Lepisosteus oculatus: one gene and its partner. The protein of the gene in region 2 interacts with the protein of the main gene of each other region in a biochemical or structural test. Links are inferred from orthologs where the notes say so. Each region holds a gene or a part of one and is shown on either strand. Other genes may lie near its edges.

Region 1 (10,558 bases), on a different chromosome or scaffold from region 2:
ATGCCTTTATGCCACTTGCTTTAAGAACAATTCTTACCTGCTGAATGGCTGATGGCATGCCAGCATCCATAGGGTCAATATCGAAGACGTCATTGGGGCTGATCCCACTCTCGCTCAGAGCAGCAAGCAGCAGATCTTGACCTGGATCCATCATCTACCACAGCAGAGACAAGAACCAAAAAGGACATTTTCTTATTCCAGTAAAGCACCCATGGAGCAAAAAACATGAGCCTGAGCTAACACTAAACAAAATCACAATACATTTTATAGAAAAGGGAGCCCTATAGTTAATTAAAAAAAACGACAAGTTCAATACACTGTCATATAAGCATTTTACATGAGAAAAATATTCAATACCTTATCTCACACTACTAAGAAGCACTGTACACCAACGTGTTACAAATTAGAGATCAGGCTAGCTGTCTTTTGGTGGTGCACACTAAACTCCAGAGAAAAGTAAACAGAAACAAGCTGACCCATAACAGGAAAGTGAGGTTTCATTTTCGTTTCCAGGGTCTACTGCATTCTGTTGCATCCAATTACATATTAGTGATTAACACAGAAAAAAGTTAACCATTCATTCACTGCTATGGATTATTTATAACTATAAACATTATGGAGGATTTGCAGATGCGAGTGCGTGGTTTGCTGTAGCATGCATCTCAGACCATGTGCTCATTACACATTAATGAACATTTTAACTACCCACATGAGCAACAATGTAGCAAACATATTCTGCATTTTGTTAGGATTTTTGGAAACTGGCTCCCCATTGTCAGCTATAAACTTGGTGCTTGGTGGAAATTGTTTTAAAACACGCATTGGGATTGGTAACAATAGTGCACAATTTATTACCAAAAGTAATGTTTGAAGTGCTTATCCTACATAGCTTTAGTTACGGTAAGAGTTTACAAGAGCCCAAACTTCCCTGAAGATTCCTAAAGTTAAAACCCTTTCTGCCTCTCATCTGGCAGCACGAGACAATATTCACCTCTCTAAAATACTACACTCGCATCATTTTAAGGATCAGCAAACAGTCGATTGCAGAAGTGGACAAATATTCAGTCCAATTATCTGTTCATGAACTTAATCCTTTTTAATGGAAACTGGAAGTTTTCTTTACCTTTTTGAAAGGAGACACTGAGTGGTAAGAAAGCACCAATGGATGTGTTCAGAGTTATTACGGAATGCACTTATACCTGGCATGAGACCTGATTAGACTATAAGTGTATTCATACAAAATACACTTGACTACACAAAAAAAGGCATTTAAGCTACAAAACCTTAACTTTAAAACGAAATACCCTTGGTCACTCATATGATAAAGGGGGAATCTTAAATTGCAGTATTTACAAGCAAGGAGATTGAAACGACAGGAAACAAACACATTGTTTTACAGGAAAATAATGTTAGTCGTTCACATTAAGTTATTTTCCTTTTGTTAATGAGCTTTGTCAATTTACATTGATGTGCGTTCATGTGCCTATGGCCCACGCGTCTTGACAGTCACCTCTCTAAGAAAACATGTTTTAATTTATACAGCCGACACGTCTCAAAGAGTATATTTGAAAATTATTTCCCTCCAAACAAGTGTGATAGCAGAATTAGTATTATTCGAAAAGGTCAATTTTCAGAGTCATAACCTCTACTCAAACACGTGTTCAATTCATAAACTTCCGGGTTTGGATAGTGCTAGCTACGTAATGTTCTTTATGGTTAAATGTTTCAACCATCGAATTACAATTTAAGTTATAAAATTCGACAGATAAAATAATTAAATACGATAACATGTGGGGGAACATAAGGCTACTGTACACTATTTGGGGCTAGAAACGCGATTAACGTGCATCATCCATAATTAATATAACTTCAAATAAAAAATATCATTTAACACTGCAAGGGGCTTTATAATGTATAGTTACAGAACACCATGTAAGGTTAGATTAGCACTCGATGAACGAAAACATATACTTACCATTTAGAGGATAAATGTAGATTGTTTATAAAGATTTAATCAATCTACAAATCCAGCAGAGTCATCTGTAAAACACCTTCCTTAGCGAGAGGAAAGAGTGTTTTGACGTGCTCAGAAAGAACCAAGAGTCCAGAAAACGCGAGTTGCCGCCTTGGAGCCCGGGGCTGGTCTGTGACAATGCTGTTGTGAAGCCAGTCCTTAAAGCCTCGGACCTCTTCGTGATATGCTCAGTCACCGTAACAGCGGACAAGGCGAACACAAAACAAATCTATTTTTTTTTTTTACAGTTTCGCCAGCACCGGTCCCATTCTTTTTTATTTATTTTTTTTACACCAGTGAAGTCCACGAATTTTCGGCGGCCATTTTACGATCCCGCAGCCTCCACACGCACACTTACTTGTCGAAGTTCTGGCTTCCAAATAACCGCAGCAGACTCGAGGTGACTACTACATAGCTCCTCCGCCGCTTTCTATCCGACTGCCGCCATCTTTACCGAGCGGCCGGAGCCGCGTGCGATGTCACGTGACGCCCGCCCCCGAGAGCAGAATCTTCCAGAATCGCGTCCCTGCCGCTCGAAAAACGCGATAGGAGCCGCCGGTCCCACGGCACGGGAACTGGACGCGGTCCCGCTGGCTTGGCGCGGCGAAATTAATGTTCGGGTCCATTTTTCCTTATATTTTTAATCGGATCGGGGAAGCAAGAGAGAAGTAAAAGCCCCGATCACGTGACCACTGGCGTGGCCTTGGTCGGGAAGTGACGATGAATGACGCACTTCCTTAGGGGGGATACCGGAAGTATCGATTTGGGACATATTGAGAAGGTCTTGGTTAGGTTTTTGGTGAGACTTTACAATTATAACTCTGCTGATGCGGGGGGATTAAAATATTCTTTGTACAATATCTGTAATATAAGATGATGTGAGGGATAGGGAGCCTTAGACTAGAATAATTGAAATGTCGTGAACATTGAAATTGGTGTTTGGAGTAGTTTATTTGAATTTATTACATGTTTTATTCTTCGAGTAACGATTGTAAAAAAAATCATCTTAATATTTACATTTATTGCTTGTGGCACTCGCCGAGAACCGGATTTTAATTTCGATTCGTCTTTTCTGCTTTGGGTAAATGCTGATCGAATCTACCTGATCAATCCAATGCCGACGTGAGTTGATGTTTGGGGTTTTGTAGGTTTATACAGCACAAGAAGTGGCTCACCCTCGACAGCTCAAGTCTTGCCGTTGTTTTACTGAACCGTATTTTACGGTATTAATCCGATCTCCAGCAGTACAGTTAAACAAGGAAACAAGCACAAGAAAGCGAGTGGCAAGGGTCAACGTAAAAAGAAGACAAAAAGACAAGAATTTTGGGCATAACCCGCTTGTTCCTGGATCTGTGTTGTGGTTTCAGGAATGCCCACGAAGTCCCCATTAATTCTGTCCAAGTATGAAAGAGTATTTAGTTCCTTTGAATTGTGTTAGGGGTATTTAGAGTTAAAAATTAACGTAATGATCACGTTTGCTTGATTTAATCTAGTTCTTAATCAAAAACATGACCCTGCCCATTGCATCAGCTACTTAAAATAAAACGCCACAGTTTGGTTTTGGTTTTTTTTTTTTATAAATAGATAGGTTGTCTTCTTGGAAACAACCTTCCCATTGGAAATAAGTCATTCCTGTGTCACATTTATGATTTCTATTAAATGCACAGTCAGGATCTCTTTGTATTACTCGCATCGAAACAGGCTTGTGCTTTCTGGCTTTGTGTCACAATTAATTGTACAAGATATCGACCCCAAACCTGGTGCATGAAAGGACAGCGATTTTATTAGATTCACTGTTGCCTTGGTTACATATGATCATGTCTTCTGTATAGTTTTTTTTCCCAGTATAATCAAGATCTGTTCCAACACCCCAGTACAAGCAAAGTCAAAGATGAGGAGAGTGCCCCTTTCACGTATTAATTATAACAAATTAACACGACTGTGTCACTCCTTCCACACTGTTCCACACATAATATATATCGCTTCCTTTACTCAATCATCCCAGTGCGCCTGACTGGTTCTTTCACTGAAATGATCAATTATTAGATTCATTTGCCATGGAAACGAACTACAATCACTCGCCGGAGTAACCACGCTAGCACGCTAGCACGCTAGCATCATAAGAAAAGCGCAAGCATAGTCCCATACACGACTATGAGGAAAAGACCGACAGGTAAGGGATGCAGCGAAATAAAATTAAAAAAAAAAACTAAACGTGGAAGATGACTGGATCCTCTATCGAGAGTCGGGCTTTTGCTGCTGCGTTCCTGCAGGAAGGCGTCCTTCGCTGCCTCGTCTATGTTGTTTTAAAGATACTCACTTATCGGCCTCCTCTGCCTCAATGAAATGAAATCCACAGCCCTAGCTGATGAGTCAGCACGGCTGCATACCCTGTTCTCTGGTTGCCTTGTACAATAATGACAGCATTAACTGCAGCAGGGTCTTATTGTCATAGAGACATAGGCACAGTTACAAACAATAGCAGTAAACATGAAAAGAATGTGTTCTAACAGGGTGCTGTAGCCTTTCTCACGCGTCTGTCATCGATACATTGAGGAAAACCCAAATTCATTTAGAAAACGTCTAAGACGTCTCCCTAAATTCCCTTAGCAACTAATCCCGTTCTGCAACCGTCTTTATAATTCATCATCTTGCTCTCCAGAAAATTGCTATGCCAACCAAGTCCTGTACTGTATATTTAAAGCAACAGAAAACAAAGCTTTATTCAGAGTATACAACTAGCAACTGATTTCAATGGATTCGGCTGCTACCCCTTGTGGAATAGTTTAGCACACACATACAATTAATTACTTCTCTTTGAAATAATTAATTTCTACGACTGAAACGACTTTCTCTGGATTCATCCATATTTTATATATTTATTTCTTATGAACTGAATTGCAGATTTCATGAATTATAAAATGAACAAGCGGTCAATAAAGTCATATACTTTCTTTTGTTTCGTGTGTATTTGTATTTGAAACTTCTCCTTGCGTTGTTTAATCACAATTTTATACACTACATTGTTGCCTGAATGTAAGTCTATGCACCCGAATATTGTGTTCTTATATAAGGTTTCTCACAAACCTTATACTGTATATGCTAGGTATTTCCCCTGAGACTAATCAGGCTTTTTTTCTAGATACATTAAGATTAAGATGTTCTACTGCATCTTGGTGTTTTACGTTTCCCTTAATGGGAATAGGTGATCACGTAAATGAATTTTTATTTCCAGGATGAATACAAATCCACAATATCCATTTAACAAGATAAATCTACTATCTAATCGGAAATAAGGCAGTTAGTTTTCCCGCGAGAATCGATGCTTAAGATCTGTTTCTGATGTGATCTGTAGCACCTTTTTGATATGTATTAACATATTTCTTACAGCAGACAATAAAAACTCGCTGTTTATTTCTTCCAATATTGACCAGCTCACTTTTCATTCAAGTAAAACAGATCACCGTTCCTCATTCACTTCTTTTAAATCTGCATATTTTATTTTGTTAATACGCAATATGCGTAAATGCACATTTATAGCAATTTAAGTGTCACATTATTTTAAGGGAAACTTAAAGTCTTGATCTGACTGAAATGTGACCGGAAGGTTTTGACTTAACGTCATTAAAGAGGATGCTCAGCAATACAGGGGCAGTGCTGGAAATGTAAGACATCACAAAATGTGTATAGAATCTCGTAGCAATAGCCACATGGGAAAATGCACTGTAGGGGCCATCGTAGAGTTTTCCACCAATCACATTTCAGGCCTTCAAACTTCTCAGCCAATCGGACGTAAGCATGGAATTCAAACCTCACGGACTGTTTGGGTACGATTCATTTAATCAGCCAATCACAGCGTGGTACGGAAGCCTGAGACGGCCATGAGCAACAATGGGTGATAATTTGTACGGAAATATGAAGTGAATGGCTGTTTAAATGGCCAATAGGGGTAGGAGAGTAGGGATTATCTCGTAAAGAGCAACATCTTATAAAAGTGTAGTTTAACAGCCCATTTTTTTATGGTTACTGTTAAAATACTTTAAGAGAAATTGGTTTGCATTGCTTGTAATATCACGTTCGCGTCTGGGGCTCGGCTATTATGGCGAGAGGTGAGTAACGTTTTTCGGTCAATTTGTGTGCATGAAATTCACGTGCCGAGCTCGTTTTTTTAATGAATATATAATATCCATGTGTGCTATATACTTGGAAAATACCGATGGAGATGGTACTGGAAAGAAATCGATCGTGTCCCTTCAGGCAGAATGTGTTGTGCAGCGGTGAAGCTCATTCACAACTGCAGGAGTGGTAGCTAAAGATGTCTAGATTTTCTGCATTTTGTAGGCATTGCAGAATTGGAAGGGTTTAAAGTAAAAGCGTCTCAGACTCCAGTTTCTGGAGGGCCTAGTGCCTTCTGCTTTTCATTTCCACCCTGACGAGGCAATTTAAACAATTGACTCATTTGCTTAGACACAACCTTAATTCAAAACCTTAGAGGTGTAATTTATCTGTAAAAACACCCAGAGAGCCTTGGCAGAAGTAGTATAATGATGGAGTTAACTGATAAAATTAACCAGCTATGCCAGGGAGAACTCAGGCAGACCAGAAGCTGATGAAACCAGGTCGGTGGTCGGGAATTCTCCAAAGCAAGTATCCCTTCTTTAGACGGGACATTCCTTTGGGAAAATTTGAGGGAGTCCCTAGAGAGATCTGTAAGATCTTATATCTAATTCTCACGCACAGTACGTGGGTTTCTAAATTCTGGTCGTGGAATACCCCTGTGTCTACTGGGTTTTAATCACGGGTAGTTTATTTCAGTTTTCTATTTAAGGCCCACTTTAAGTTCCTTAAAGAAGCTGACTGGGATTTGCCATTAGTGTGAACCCTGCCCTCTGTGGTGAGTTTTAAGTTTGCCCTCACTCAAGTCTGCTAGCTGAAGTATAACCAATGGGACTGGAGAGACACTGACTCGCTGTGAAGGTTGTCCAATGTCAGTCTTGTCCGTTCATCATCAGTTCATCACCTATCAAGAACTGTTGAGTCAGAAAAATTGGAGCAGCTTATTAATAAGCAAGCTGAAGAGTTGCAGCATAAAGTTCCATGTGCAGCGTGAATGTTTCTTCTGCACTCTTTAGGATAAACCGACCTTCATTGTAGCAAAAAAAAGGTTAATGTTTAGGAAAGAAATGCACAAGATAGAATCGAAACGCATGTATAAACTAGGAGATAAATAGGGGAGATCGACTAAACTTCATTTAAAAACGAATCAATTCAATAAAAATTAAAGCATACGTATATATTTTTCCCCCAGTCACGTTGTGGGTGCACTGAGTCTGTGAACCCAACTCTCTCTGCTGGACAGAGGCGGCGGTGCAAGCACAGAGTTTGCAGTCCCTTTAAATGTTCACGTGGTTACTTTCCCCGTGTCTGAGTTAAAAACATGGCGGAGGGGAGGAACTGTGAAAACTGCTTGGGTTGATTAAAAAAAAAAATAAAAGGAAAAAAAGGGACGCCCTAGCAGTTATGGTTTTATTTTGCTTTTCAAGAAATATCGACCCTGTAAAATGCCTTAATTTTCATTTTCCAAGGGAAAAAGAAAACCCCGAACCACGGTAAAAGCAAAACTGAGGACATTGCCCACACCACGGAGCAGCTAAAAGGAAAAAAAGAAAACAAACCCGAAATGAACGGGGTAGGTCTCGACTTCTTTTTTTTAAATATTGATATTTTAACGGAAAAAATGCAGAAATAACAACTACGAGAAAATGTATCCCTATATAAATTGTACAAGAGACCTCTTTAGAAAAGTTGGAGCTGCTTTTTTTTCTACCGGTGCTAAGTTTTCATGTTTATGTAGATCATTTGCGTTGTTTATATTCCAAATTAATTTGCACAAACATATGTTAAAGTAGTATATTGTTTGTCGTTTTAAATGTTGAAGTTATTTCCCTAATATCCGGCCCGTATACATTGCCTGTATGTATAGTTTATTTGAAAACTATGCACACTATACATGTTATAAACTACTGTATACACTAGCACGGCCAGGTTGTAAATTTAAGAACAGTAAGAGAGCCTTATGTTTTCACGTACGTATGATGCTAAAACCCCAATAATAAATGCATATTAGAAGGAGTGATGAGGCGGACGTTTAAGCTTCCATTTGGTTCTTTGCGAATTTTTAATTCTTTAGTACATTAATACAACAGAATACTGTACCTTGCTTCACTGAGGAATGTATTCTGTATGGGCAGCTGCATCCTCGATTATTTCTGGACATTCGTGTGCCATATTGCAGTGTTACTTTGTTGAATGTGTAAAGAATTCCGAAAGGGAGGAAGATAAATGTCCCTAGACATTCTAGAGCTGTTATTTGAAGTATGTTGGAAGGCTGCAGAAATAATCTGGGCTGCATGTTAATTCGACCCGAAAATGGGGTTTATGAACAGTGTAATCGGTGCTGTTTTGAACATCTGCATTACGTCGGTTACACAGAAGGAAGATGCGCTTCTGCTTTTGTATACTCGCATTTAAAAATATAATGATCTGGTCTGGGGGAATAGGTTTTTAGGTGAATTTGGTCTCCTTTGTGTGATGTGCATCATCTTTCGAGAAACATGCATGTTACCTACACAACTGTAATTAATTTCTTTCAATTTAATTCTAATGGAGCACCTTCCAGGGGTGGCACGGGGGCGCAGTGGTTAGCATTGCGAGACAGCGCTGGGGTCCTGGGTTCAATTCCACGCCTGGGGTGCTATCTGTGTGGAGTTTGCATGTTCTCTCGGAGTTTGCATGGGTGTGCTCTCCGGTTTCCCTCTCACAGTCTAAAGACATACTGGTAGGTTAATTGGCTCCTGGGAAAATTGGCCCTGGTGTGAGTGTGTGCATATCTGTGTGTATGTCTGTCTGCCCTGTGATGGACTGGTGTCCCACCCAGGGCGTATCCTGCCTTATGCCCGGTATTTGCCCGGCTCTCCTGTGACCCTGTACTGGACAAAAAATGGATGAATATTACATTTCAATCCAAAGCATAACATTTCTTAATTGTTGTAGCTTGATGCTGAGCACGTCTAGGGAGCACACTGCTAATGTATTGTGCTTAGGAAGGTCATGTGAAAGAACGGCGAGAATAATGTTCAAACGTTGCTTTCTGCATTCTCTCCCTTGTGTTGAAACAGGATATATTTTATAACGGTCAGTCCTCAATACGTCCTTTCTTGAGCCCCAGCAAGCCACGTTCTCCACTTCATGATGAAAACTCGATCGCACATATACACGACGGAAAAAGCCCCGGCAAACGTACTGTACAGCAGGGATCCACTAAGAAGGAGGAGGGTATGGTTCAAAACTTCGTCTTTCTCAGATTTGTTCATAAAGGCATAAAGTATAAAAACTCTGACTTTGTACGCAGGGAACTAATTGATAAGCTAGCATCTTCATGTGGAATGCAGAGCTCCATTTCAGTGGTCCGTTTACTATTTAGTGATGCTCAGTGTAGCCTGGAGGAGAGGCAAAAACTTTTATCTCTGCATTGTTCATCTTTAGACCTTTTGGACCCCCCCAGTGCCCCCTCTTAACATTCCTCTGAATATTTACTGTAAACAGAAGTTACGTTTTATTTAGCATTTACTGTAAGGAATCGGTTTTAGACGTATGCGAAACAAGTCAGGAGATCTGAGTTAAAGCTCTGTTAAATTGTTTCCGTTTATAAATGACATCTGTGTTCAGCAGCAGCCATCTTATGATTCCACTTATTTCATTTTAGCTTGTGAAACAATTATACACAAACTTTTTCAGTCTAAAATTTTAACATGACGAAAACAGACCTTCAATTACAAGTGTTATTTTAATAAAGAACCATATAAGCAAAGTCTTGATCCTTTAAAAAAGTATTATTAGACGTTCTTCCAGAAGAAAAAAAACGTTACCTGTAAGATTTAAAATATCTTTACTACCAAAGGTTAATGGAGATCGTTTATTTACAAAAAAATGAAGAAATTTAATCCCAGGTGTTCAAGTTTAGGTCTAATTATCTTAAAGAATACAGCTTGGAAACTGATTAGAATTAGAATGATTAGATTAGAATGTAGTGTTTGTTTAGAATTAAGCTCATCAATAAAATCCTTGAGACGTGGTAGGCAAATGTTTCCTTGTATTAATCAACCAGATTTCTAGGTTCTTTTCAGACTCACGCCCTAAAGGCTGATGTGTTGGTTCTTCTGTGCAGAGAAGCAGAATGGTATAAATCCTGAAGTAAGCATCACTAAATCTGAAGAGTCGGAGGCAAAGAGGCTTGAATCTTCGGGGACTGAAGGCCTGCCGAAATACCTCGAGCTTGAAGCTGCTCGTCTACACTCCTCTGCAGACATGACTCCAGAAAACAATGGTGCCGACAGATCCTCTCCAAAAACGGAAACGCGGCGCAAGGTTAAAGTAAAATCACACCGAACGTAAGTTGGGGTTCCATCATGGAACCGTGCAGTCTTGGAACCTCAAGGGAGAAACAAGCTAGGATGTAGCTAAACCTTTGGAGAAAAAGGCATT
Region 2 (10,468 bases):
CTGCGACCAGCATTAACAGGTCCTGACCAGAGCCTGAGTGCAGCCCTGAGTAAAGGGCAGGTGAAACCAAGCCTAGTTTATTCAATCCCTAGTATTACCAAAAATAAATGGAAACAAACATACAGTTGTCTTAGAAAAGAACTCAATGCGGTAATCAAATCCTTTCTATAATCCACATATGATATGATATATTATAATACCATTAAGAATGAAATGCTATATCTATTGGCAAGCTGAGAACAGGTGTTCTAAAACAGTGTCATAAAATCAGACGAACAACACAGGTATGTTTAGTTCGTTCATGTAACAGAGATGCTGCCGTTGGCAATGAAACCAGTGAGTGCTATGTCAAATCCACTGTCTTTCTCCTTGGCTCGGCAATTTGCGCTGTTGGCCAAACAAAACAGATGAGCTGTCGGACAACTGATGTTTTGTTACAAATGGCAATTTCCAACTGGGCTGTGGAAAACAAAATGCATACAATAGGGCGATGGCACCACTAACTGAACTAAATGGAAGTACAAATTTAATTTAAAGGTCAGTGACCGTATATATAACAAATTAAGAAAATTACAAGACTGACAGAACAACACCTTTCAAGGAGGAATAAAATGGGCTTCAGCGGAACAACCTACCTTGGATCATTTCACCAATTTTGTTGCAAATTCCTGCTGCAAAATCTCTGCAAATAAAACGCAGACATACAAAATCAGACCAACGCATTTTATAACACACATGCATTTTCTTGTTGTGAATACTATTAAACCATTATCAGTCTTATTGTGTTCATCCATTTATTGTGTGACAGCTATATGTATATAACGGTATGATAACAGTTGTGTAAACATACATAGTACTCTACCCCAAAGGACTTAAAATTGCTTTATACAGTATATAGGAGGGGACCAGTTCATCCATCATTAAAGTGCAGGTCAATCCTTGAGGTCTTGCAGCAGCCATAATGCATCAGCAGTCATGCTACACAATCTATGAGGCGGAGAAGTGTCAAGTTGCTTCACCAGTTCAATTAAGGAAAGCACCACGTTCAGAACTAACACATACTGTTAGTTTATTGCAAAACAGAACCTGTGTTCATTTGCCCAGCAAGGATGTCCGCATCATTGTAAGGGAATGTGGCTTCGATCTGGCTAAGGTTATTATCAATGGTTCCTTCAGTACTGACTGCATGACAAAGTCACATGAGCAGGTGTTAGGATCTGAGTGCACACTATGTCACATTAGTGACATTAAGTGACTAATGTTTCTTTATAAGAGCTTTATTTTTAGTGAACACGTCTCACTGAGACACTTAGAAAGCACTGAAAAGTACCTGGGTAAAAACACCTAAGAAAATCAAGAACCAGGTAAGTAGCAAAGTGATATAACGGGCTCCTTTAAAAAATACATGTTTATAGGAATATTTCACAATAACCACCTTTCATACTTACAGAGTTTCACTTTTTGGAATGTTTTTTAAATTATCGGTCATTTTTCGACTGATCTCTTCCAGTTCCCAACTCTTTCATTTTAAACGGCTTTTGAGAGGCTTTGTGAGGAAATCACACAGGCGAGATCAGTTTCACACCACACTAACCTTTATGATTTGCTTCTTTCTGTGCCCTCACATTTAGCTTGACCTGAGAAGTTTTTTTTCCAGAACTTATTTTTGGTGGAAGGTTCATTACCAAGGCGATTACCAAAATCAAGTGATACGAAATGTGGAGTGTAACAATCCCCACGCATTCACTGTGTGAGACAATCTGTTTAAGGAAATGCTCCCCCCCCCCAGCAACACCCTGACTCTAAACAAAAATGTGACACTGACTTGGACTGGGCAGAGAAGCTGGCCGCGGAAAAAAGCGCTGCTTCCACTTCCACATTGTCGTGAGAGTCCAGACTCTGGCGGATGCTGTGGTGGGCATTCTTCCTCTCTGGGATAATGGAGGCCATACTACCCAGCATTCTTCAAAATGAAAAGAAAAACTCGAGTCACCATTGAAAAAAATCACCAAAACAGAAACAAGAGGCATAAACAGGGATACAATCATCACTTGACAAGGAAAACCCTTATTATAGTATATCATTCAGCACACAGAGTGTATTACTGCCATTTCCCTATCCATTTATTTAGTATAGGGTTGTGGGAGGAGCTGGAGTCTATCTCACTCCATCACAGGGCACACACAGACACAGACATGCACACACTCGCACCACGGCCAGTTTTCCCAGAAGCCAAATGAACCTACCAGTATGTCTTTGGACTGTGGAAGGAAACCGGAGCACCCGGAGGAAAACCACGCAAACACGGGGAGAGCATAGAAACTCCATGTGGAAATTAACCCCCTGCGCCACACCATGAGGAACTCAGTATCTGCCATACTTTTCTAAGCAATTTCTTGTTACAAATGCCTTAGTGAGGGATCTCTGAGTGTCATGTAACTGATCCACAGGCTTGCTCTGGTATCTTTCTTTGGAAAAAGGCCATGTTTGATGATCCCTTTAATTATATAATTCTTACTTAATTATCGTTTACAATTCTCGGTACCTGAGAGTGATGGCTCTGGCCACTGGATCATTGCTGTGAATGACGGAGAAAATCCTCTTGACAAACTCATCAACATTTAAGATTTTTTCCAGGTGCTTCTCACTCTGTTGAGTCACCTTCAGCACACAGAGCCGTAGAAAATTGTTTCTGTGACAGAAAGACAGAACAATTGGGAGATAATGCCTACTGTTCATAAAAACACAAAAACTAAGGGTCCATCTTATTTTAAGATGGTTAAAAAGTAGATGTTTGTGACATACACCCTAGTATCACATTCAATTGGGTTTTAACATTACAGAATTTTAAAACAAGTCAGAAAGGAATATGATAACATTTCTCATTCAGCTAAAAAAACACAAGTTACTTTTTATTTTTGAAAAACATGTAATGACTCATTGGAATGTAAGTAATATAATAATAAACTGTGACTGCCAGATGAGCCCTGTTGTTGACTGCACTTTCAAAATTTTACAGGAAACAAAAGAGACGACCCCTTCTCTTAGGAATTCAAGGGAACGAAGGTGACATTCAGAAATGATGCTGTTAGATTTTGTTTGTAATGTCAAATTCAGCTTTCGTAGAGTAGCATTGTACTACCATGCAGAAGTCACTGAGTATTCCGAAATCACTAATTTCTAAAGTCTGGGACCACCTGTACTTTTTGTTCAATTAGGCCAGTAATTTTTCCAATTAAAGGAACACTTGTCCTTCAGGACTGAAGAGTTTTGCTCCCAATAATCTTCATACTACTTAATTTAACAAATTATCTGTGACTGATCACCAGTTACGTTTTGCATGGCTTCAGAACATGGTGAGTTCATGCTGCCATACTGTATAAAACCTTCTCCATTGAGGCATGCAAAAACTAAAACAGCCTGAAAAATCACACTAAATGCAAAAATTGTTTGATTTTTTTTCAATTTAGCAAGAAACCCTAAGAAGCAACTCAGTTAAGCAGAGCAGTAAAAGACGAAGTGCTGTGCTTGGAGGGGAGCTCATTTCAACACATACCCCAGTCTGAAGATGTCTGCCAGTTTCAGAAAGGCGGAGTTGATCAGGATAGGGAACGGGTATTTCTGGAACAGCTTGGGAAAGAGCACCACAGCTTCACACTGTTCTCCAAGCTTGCCGGACCGCAGCCCTTCAGGGGGGGAACGATTTTTACAATACTGGTTAGTAAAAAAACTGTGCTGCTGCACATCTGAAGACTCCAACTTAGGATTTCATACAGTAAATAACTTAAGATGAAAGAATTCAGGTGATACAACAATCTTGCAGTCTTTACAAGGATTGGTGCAGGATCTAAAAAGGATTTAGTGTATGTATATATGATTCAATGACATATACAGAAATACACAGCTAATGGAGGAAAAACAGAACTCATTCATTACATTAATTAAGCAATTAACAACCCAGCGTTCTTAGAGTCATGTATAGAAATGCTGGACAGGCCTGGTTGGCCTTTATTATAACTTCAAGGGGAGACATCAGTGACTTTGAAGGGGTGTTTAGCAGAAACTTAAGTGATCAAGAGTCATAGTGTCTAAGCTGATTTCAGCATGGAACCCAATAGAAAAGACATCTTCGGTCAGTCCTAACAATGGGTCAGTATACTCCAGGATGGTAATATCCAAGCATTAATCAGAACTACAAATTTCATCCTGGGGCACAAGCAGCCAGTTTAATCAAGAGAAATGCTGAGAAATCCACACAGCAGGATCATTTAGACGGGTTGCACAGCGCAAATCACTCATTACCTCTTGTAACACACGCCTGTAAGACTAGTGGTGCAAAGAGCACAGCAAATGGACTATCAAGTACTAGAAAAAGGTCATTTGTTTAGATAAATCGTTCTTCACCATTTTTGGCACCATCCTATAGAACTCTACAGCCCTGGGTACAGTAATGTTAAGGGGTACATTTTCCTGCCACAGTTTAGGTGAACTCCTTCCCTTAGAAGGTAAGGTTAATGTAACCACTACTTAATGGCACTGAGTGATCACCTTCACCCTGTGTTGCAGAATTTCTTCCCTGCCTGGAGGGGAGTCTTCCAGGATGTCAATGCCCTTAGCGCACGTGGTCACCCAGTGTTTTGATGAAGGTGACACTGCTGTTTTCCACATCACATGGCCTTCTCTGTTACCTGATCCAAACTCTACCAAGCATTTATGGGATATTCTGAACCGTGGGGTGAGATAGTGTTTTCCACTTCCATTAACCAGGTGAGAGTTGATTGGCTTTCTCGTGGAAGAATGGTGCTGCATCCCTTCTGCAGAATTGCATGGCACATTCGTGCATTCATTCCACTGGGTTGTGCATATTCTGTCTACTATCTGTATATACATAATATACTGTATATGTTACGATTTAGATTACACCATATAGCGCAGCAATCACTGAATAATAAGGACTGAACAAATTCGTCTCTCTCAGTAAAATGATTAATCATTGATCCAACAATTAGTTTAACTGCCTAATCTATACTGTGAGCAGCAGAGTCACAGTGGAACGGAAGAACCAAAACGGCCTAGGCTGGTGTTTACATGAATCCACCAAAACAAAGTATTTTTATTACAGAACAGCAGCACCCATGAACGACCTCTTACATTTTTAACAGCTCGAAGCTCAAAGCATTGCACGCGTTTTACTCAGGTGTGTGTAACTACCTTTGTCCAGCTCCATCAGAGCAGAATTGGCATCTAATTCTTGCTCCCCGTAACCAGCTTCTGACAAGAATGATCGCGCCGTTGTTAAAGACATGATTCCTAGACTGAAAGTCAAATATAGTCAACAATTTTCTCTATTACAATATACGTTTGAGAATCTGATTTTAAAAAGGACTTTTCAATTAAAACACAATCATACTGCATACATGGCACAAAAGAAACTGCTACATCCCAGCAGTGCAAAGCGGCAGGAAGTGACATAAACACTCGACTACCCGCCCATGACGTAAACGTGCTGCCGCCACTAGGCCGCAAGAAAGGCGCAATAACGTGACATCAGTGGATATTCAAAATGCTAGATGACCGGGAAGTTTTGGTACCTGTTTGAGGAGGTAATATTTTCTGTAGGTTATGGGAGAGGGTTGGGATCTGTACTTTATTGAGTAGTTAATCTGGATCCAGGTATCTCTGACTGGTACTCGCTTTGTTACGCAGAGTGGGTGGAGTCTGACCACTCTGTGCTTTCTTGACCAATCATGTAGCGAAACGTCATTTAGGCGGGTGTTTCGTATTCTTTTTTCATTTCTGAGTTCGCGGGAAAGGGTACTTGTGTATTTCATTAGGAAGAGATACACAGCTAGTGGTGCTGCATTGTGAAATTTAAATCCATTTAATTTGCAATTGAGTTTTAAACACAATAACAAATTGCAAGATGCTATTTCGTTCCATTGTTGATAGAGGAGTTCTCAGAAGGAGGCACAATGGTAAGTTAAATTAGCTGCTAGGTGATGATTTAATATAGAGTACTGGCTCTCTAGTCAATTAATCTTCAAAACTGGGGGAGGAATGCGTTAGATCTTCACATTTTGCCTCTTAAATACCTTGCATAGTATTTGAATCAAGACTTATTTAAAGAGAGAAAGTAAAAAGATCGACCATTTCTTGTTTAACTTGTTTCTTTTGGGGGGCGTTCTGAAATTAGCTTTTGTGTCTATTTATGCCATTATCTTCTAATTATGAGGTGATCAACGCGGATGAATATATTTAAAGTGCTTTTCATTCATTTTATTTTTCCTAAAGTAAAAGGATTCGCTTTTGCTGCTCAAAATGGTGCTCTTTCTTCCTCTACGGTGGGGTGTTAAAATGTAAAGATGAGGGGGTTGGGTGGGAAACACGCTTCAATACGATTCATTTTCGGTTTTTCTCTGTGTGAAACCATCTAAAATCAGCTTCTTAACTCATCGGTTTCGAGAAAGCAATACCAAAATCCATTATATTGATGATATTGGTGATCGCGATGTGGACACGGAAGCTTTTATCAATGCGATCAGTATTTCTAAAACAGAGGCCACACTGTAAAACGGCGTTTAGACCAATGAAACTTTTAGGATTCATTGAATTTATTTATGAAACTCTTAACTGTTCTATTTAACGTTAAACTATATTTTAAAGGATTTAAGCAAAATCGCGTACGAAGTAGATCGTAGAAACTTACACTCTGACGGAGTTTTTTAAATGAATAGATGTGGACGGGAGCGGTCGCGCGGGCTTAATTTAACAAGAATGAATGAACTCTCAACACTGTTTTCCCTTACAGGGCCGGAGCGTGTGTATCCGCTTTCCTCCCTGTTAGATTGTTACCAGTGTGCTAGACAAGATGAGCACATCTCGTATGGCGATATGGGGGTTCCAGTTCCTCCCTTCGGATGCACGTTTTCTACAGGTAGAGGATCGCCAAAAAGTCTATTTGTGTTTTAGCCTGTTACAAGCTAAATATGATGTGGATTGAAATAAATCGCCCTCATCTTAAATCCTCACTTTTTGCTCATTTCCTTATTTGGTTTGATATTAAATCCAGTAACGTGACTGGGTTTTTTCTTTAAATCCCACTCTGTAGCTTTACCTGTTGAGGGCACCTCGTTTGAGTTCTAAATTGGAAGAATGGATTTGGGGATTATCTTCGATCCTGCTTCATTTTGAAACCCATGTAGCAGATATAAAAAGTCTACACACCCTTACTGAAATTACAGGTTTTTGTGATGTAAAGCCAGAAATCAAAGAAAAATTATGTCAGACATATTTGCGTCTTTAATGTGACCTTGCACCCAACAAAACTCAAGAGAAAAACAAATGGATAATTATTAGGAAAAATAATTTAAATAAAAAATAACTGCTTTATGCACAGTGCTTGTTTTTCCTTCTTAGAAATGTTCTAGGTTACCTCCTAAGGTGTCCGCTCTTTAGAGGGGGTTGGGGAGGATGTTTCTGCATTTCTTTGTGCAGGAATCTCTAGGCTACTCTTAAATTACAGTAGGTTCAAAATTCGGAAGCTAAATCCCGACTAGGTCACTTACAAATGATCTTGTCACGTCACTCCTGTTTTGGAGTGTTTGGATTCCTGTTCCTGTTAATTTCCAAATCCTTCTTACCTTCATTAGTCTACATGGTGCGACCCTCTGGTATCTAGTCAGTATCTATACCCTTTTCCTCCTTTCCACTCTTTTTGACTTGGATCTTTTTTGGTGTTTCTGTGGTTCATCTACACTTTCGGGGTGATACCACATTCTGTCGCTATGCTCTGGAATACCATCTATGAGTAATGCAGCAACATTTTAGTGCTTTTAATTCTAGTCTAAAACCTTATTTTTCTGAAAAACATTGTCACTGTTTTATATTCTTTATCTCCTTCGTTTTTTGGCTTTGTGATTTGACCTTATTGTGAAATGTACTTTTTATGTATTGTAAATTCCGAAATTACTTTTTAACACAACTATGTTAAAGCTTGTTATATAGATGTCAGGTATAGGTGTTTAGCTTTGTTTAGTCTTTATCAGAGGCGTTTAAAGAGCAAATTACAACTAAATAAGGATGAGTTAAGACGAACATCATCTTTTATACAGCTGAACAGTTTACATGTCTTATTAAAGGACTTTTATGTCTAGAAAGACACGGCAAGTTAATGGCTGTTGACAAACAGCACACTGTTCTGTAAAATTAATTTGGTGTTGACTGGAGTTCATCTGCTTGTGAGATTTCTTTTCTGAAAATTGTGAGTTAGCAGTAATTTTTACAAAATTGCTTAGTGTCAGATTTAAGACGTGAAAATGGATTCTGTTACTCGTAGTTAGTTCCTCTGGTGTTATACACAGAAAACTTTTCTCAGGATAATTGTCGCTGTAACGTGGGTCTCTGTTCACTAGCTCCAGGCCTGCAGCAGATCCTGGCTGTGGCAAACGAAGAAGGTGTCGTCAGGCTGTACGACACAGAGTCACGCAGGCGTCCACTTTTGAAAGGTAAAGAGTGATTGAAAGGGTCTCCATTTATCTGAATCAACTCTGCTTCTTTGCTTGATTCCCCCCCCCTCCCCCCAGTCATAACATCGTCATACAGCACAAGCCTTTGCTTATAAAGTTTCCGTCTAACAGACCTAAAGTGGAATGAACTACGACTGTTGGAGCCATTGTCCTCCCTGTTCCAATACCTTGCAATACCTTATTGCCACACTTCACTTCCTGAAAAGATCCTGATGTGAATAGTGTCCCCTAAGATGTGAGCACTCGTCACTTTTCCACACAAAAGAAAAACACCAGACCAGGAGGTGTTTAGTAAAGACATCTGTATCTGTGCAGTGATGAATGATAATTTCATTTTGTAAAGGAAGTAAAAAACTTTTACCAATTCCTTCACAGGAATGAACACGTGGGTGTCTTCTGAAAAGTATGTACTTGAACCTTAGCTCTTTGTCCCCCCTCTCTTTAGATTGGCTGGCTCACACGAATGCCGTCTTTGATATTGCCTGGGTTCCTGGAGAGCCGCGACTTGTGAGTGCCATTGATTTCTTACATGTGAAGAAACCGTGTCTCAAAAATTCTAAATTAACTAAAGCAAACACCTAGTATCTTTTTAGATATTTAGGTATATTTTAACCAGTTCAAGCAGAGCTCAGACATTCTGTCTTGTGGTTGTAGATCCTCTGTTGTCTCTGTCTGTTATCCTATAGGAAAACTAAATTACTTGGAATTCAAGTGTAATCTCAAAACTCTGTACAGGATTTTGCTATTAATAAATATTGATCCTTTTTCCAGTCTGGAGTTTTAGAAAACTCTACAATGTAATGGGAGTTTCTGCAAATGTTTTCTCTGTAAGGAGTATCATATCTCCTTTACTGGTTTATCACCCTCTAGAGATGGACATGTCTGTCCAGTGACTCAGGATTCATACACCTGCTGTTCTCCAGTAATGGATTCCCTTGTTACCCCACAGGTTACAGCATCTGGGGACCAGACAGCAAAGCTGTGGGATGTGAAGACAGAAGACCTCCTGGGCACCTTCAAAGGGCACCAGTGCAGCCTGAAATCGGTAGCTTTTGCAAGGCAGGAAAAGGGTGAGGCTCACAGAACTGAGCAATGACTTTTCTACCCCCCAAAAAAAACATGTCTTGCTCCAGTGTTACGTCTGGAACCTGGTTAAGATATGAAAAAATTGACACAACAGAAAAAGACGTTGCAAAGGTGGAGCTTCTCACCTGAAGTTCTAATGGGTTGGTAACAAGTTGGAAGGACCTCAGTCTGGTAGCAAAAGTACCTTTGTGATCTTTGGGGAATATTTTTGACAGCAGATATTTCTTATATCTGGGCAGAATTTACGCTAGAGTCTCAGCACTGATAACTCTAATTCAGAATTGCAGCCAGCATTGACCATGAAAAGTTCAGTTCCTCATCACCTTAGTGAATAGTAATGAGAATCAAAGCTCTGTGTCTCATGCAGAATGAATGAAAAGGTGCAATGCTTAAATTCTTTAGCACAACAACACAACACCCAGCATGTTAGTCTCATTCATTTCCTTGGCTAATGCATAATCAGAGCAGAAATCCAACCCACTAGTCCGTTTCATTTATTTAGCTTATTTCTTCTACTATGCGGATATTCAGGAAACCATTGTGTTGACTGTATATAGTTATAAACTTTCACCAGTTTGGTCCATTACTGAAAATAGTATTGCAACGCTCCAGCTGTACATTCATCATCTTGAAATAAGTAAATATCCTGAGGTGGACTTAGAGGCTTAACCTAGTAGACACTCCTCTCTGCTCTCCTCTCTCCTGTTGTCTTGGCTGCCCCTCGCCAGGCAGCTCTTTGAAATAACAAGCACTCTATAAATAGTCCTGGCAGGCCACTTTACTAGCTTGGAAGGGAACTTAAACCTCTGCATCAGCAGATGTCATAATCTGCAGCTAATTTTTCTTTGAGGCAGTGG

What was found. The genes of interacting proteins can lie anywhere in the genome.
Region 1: the proteins of dtl (region 2) and kmt5aa form a complex in vitro, tested with the Homo sapiens proteins (2 studies listed by BioGRID, with this or other methods). The link is inferred for Lepisosteus oculatus from reciprocal best matches to the Homo sapiens genes DTL and KMT5A.

What each region holds. Positions count from the first base shown.
Region 1 is NC_090717.1:7,592,669-7,603,226, forward strand, and holds the start of kmt5aa (N-lysine methyltransferase KMT5A-A), read left to right. Parts: upstream 1-5,873; 5' UTR 5,874-6,113; coding exon 6,114-6,123; intron 6,124-7,599; coding exon 7,600-7,703; intron 7,704-9,192; coding exon 9,193-9,349; intron 9,350-10,241; coding exon 10,242-10,464; intron 10,465-10,558. Other genes in the region: sbno1 (protein strawberry notch homolog 1), read right to left, coding at 38-154, 1,976-1,978. UniProt on the Homo sapiens protein: Protein-lysine N-methyltransferase that monomethylates both histones and non-histone proteins. Specifically monomethylates 'Lys-20' of histone H4 (H4K20me1).
Region 2 is NC_090697.1:46,093,765-46,104,232, reverse strand, and holds the start of dtl (denticleless protein homolog), read left to right. Parts: upstream 1-5,810; 5' UTR 5,811-5,923; coding exon 5,924-5,975; intron 5,976-6,808; coding exon 6,809-6,934; intron 6,935-8,411; coding exon 8,412-8,504; intron 8,505-8,970; coding exon 8,971-9,032; intron 9,033-9,474; coding exon 9,475-9,595; intron 9,596-10,468. Other genes in the region: ints7 (integrator complex subunit 7), read right to left, coding at 636-682, 1,826-1,963, 2,546-2,692, 3,557-3,686, 5,212-5,305. UniProt on the Homo sapiens protein: Substrate-specific adapter of a DCX (DDB1-CUL4-X-box) E3 ubiquitin-protein ligase complex required for cell cycle control, DNA damage response and translesion DNA synthesis.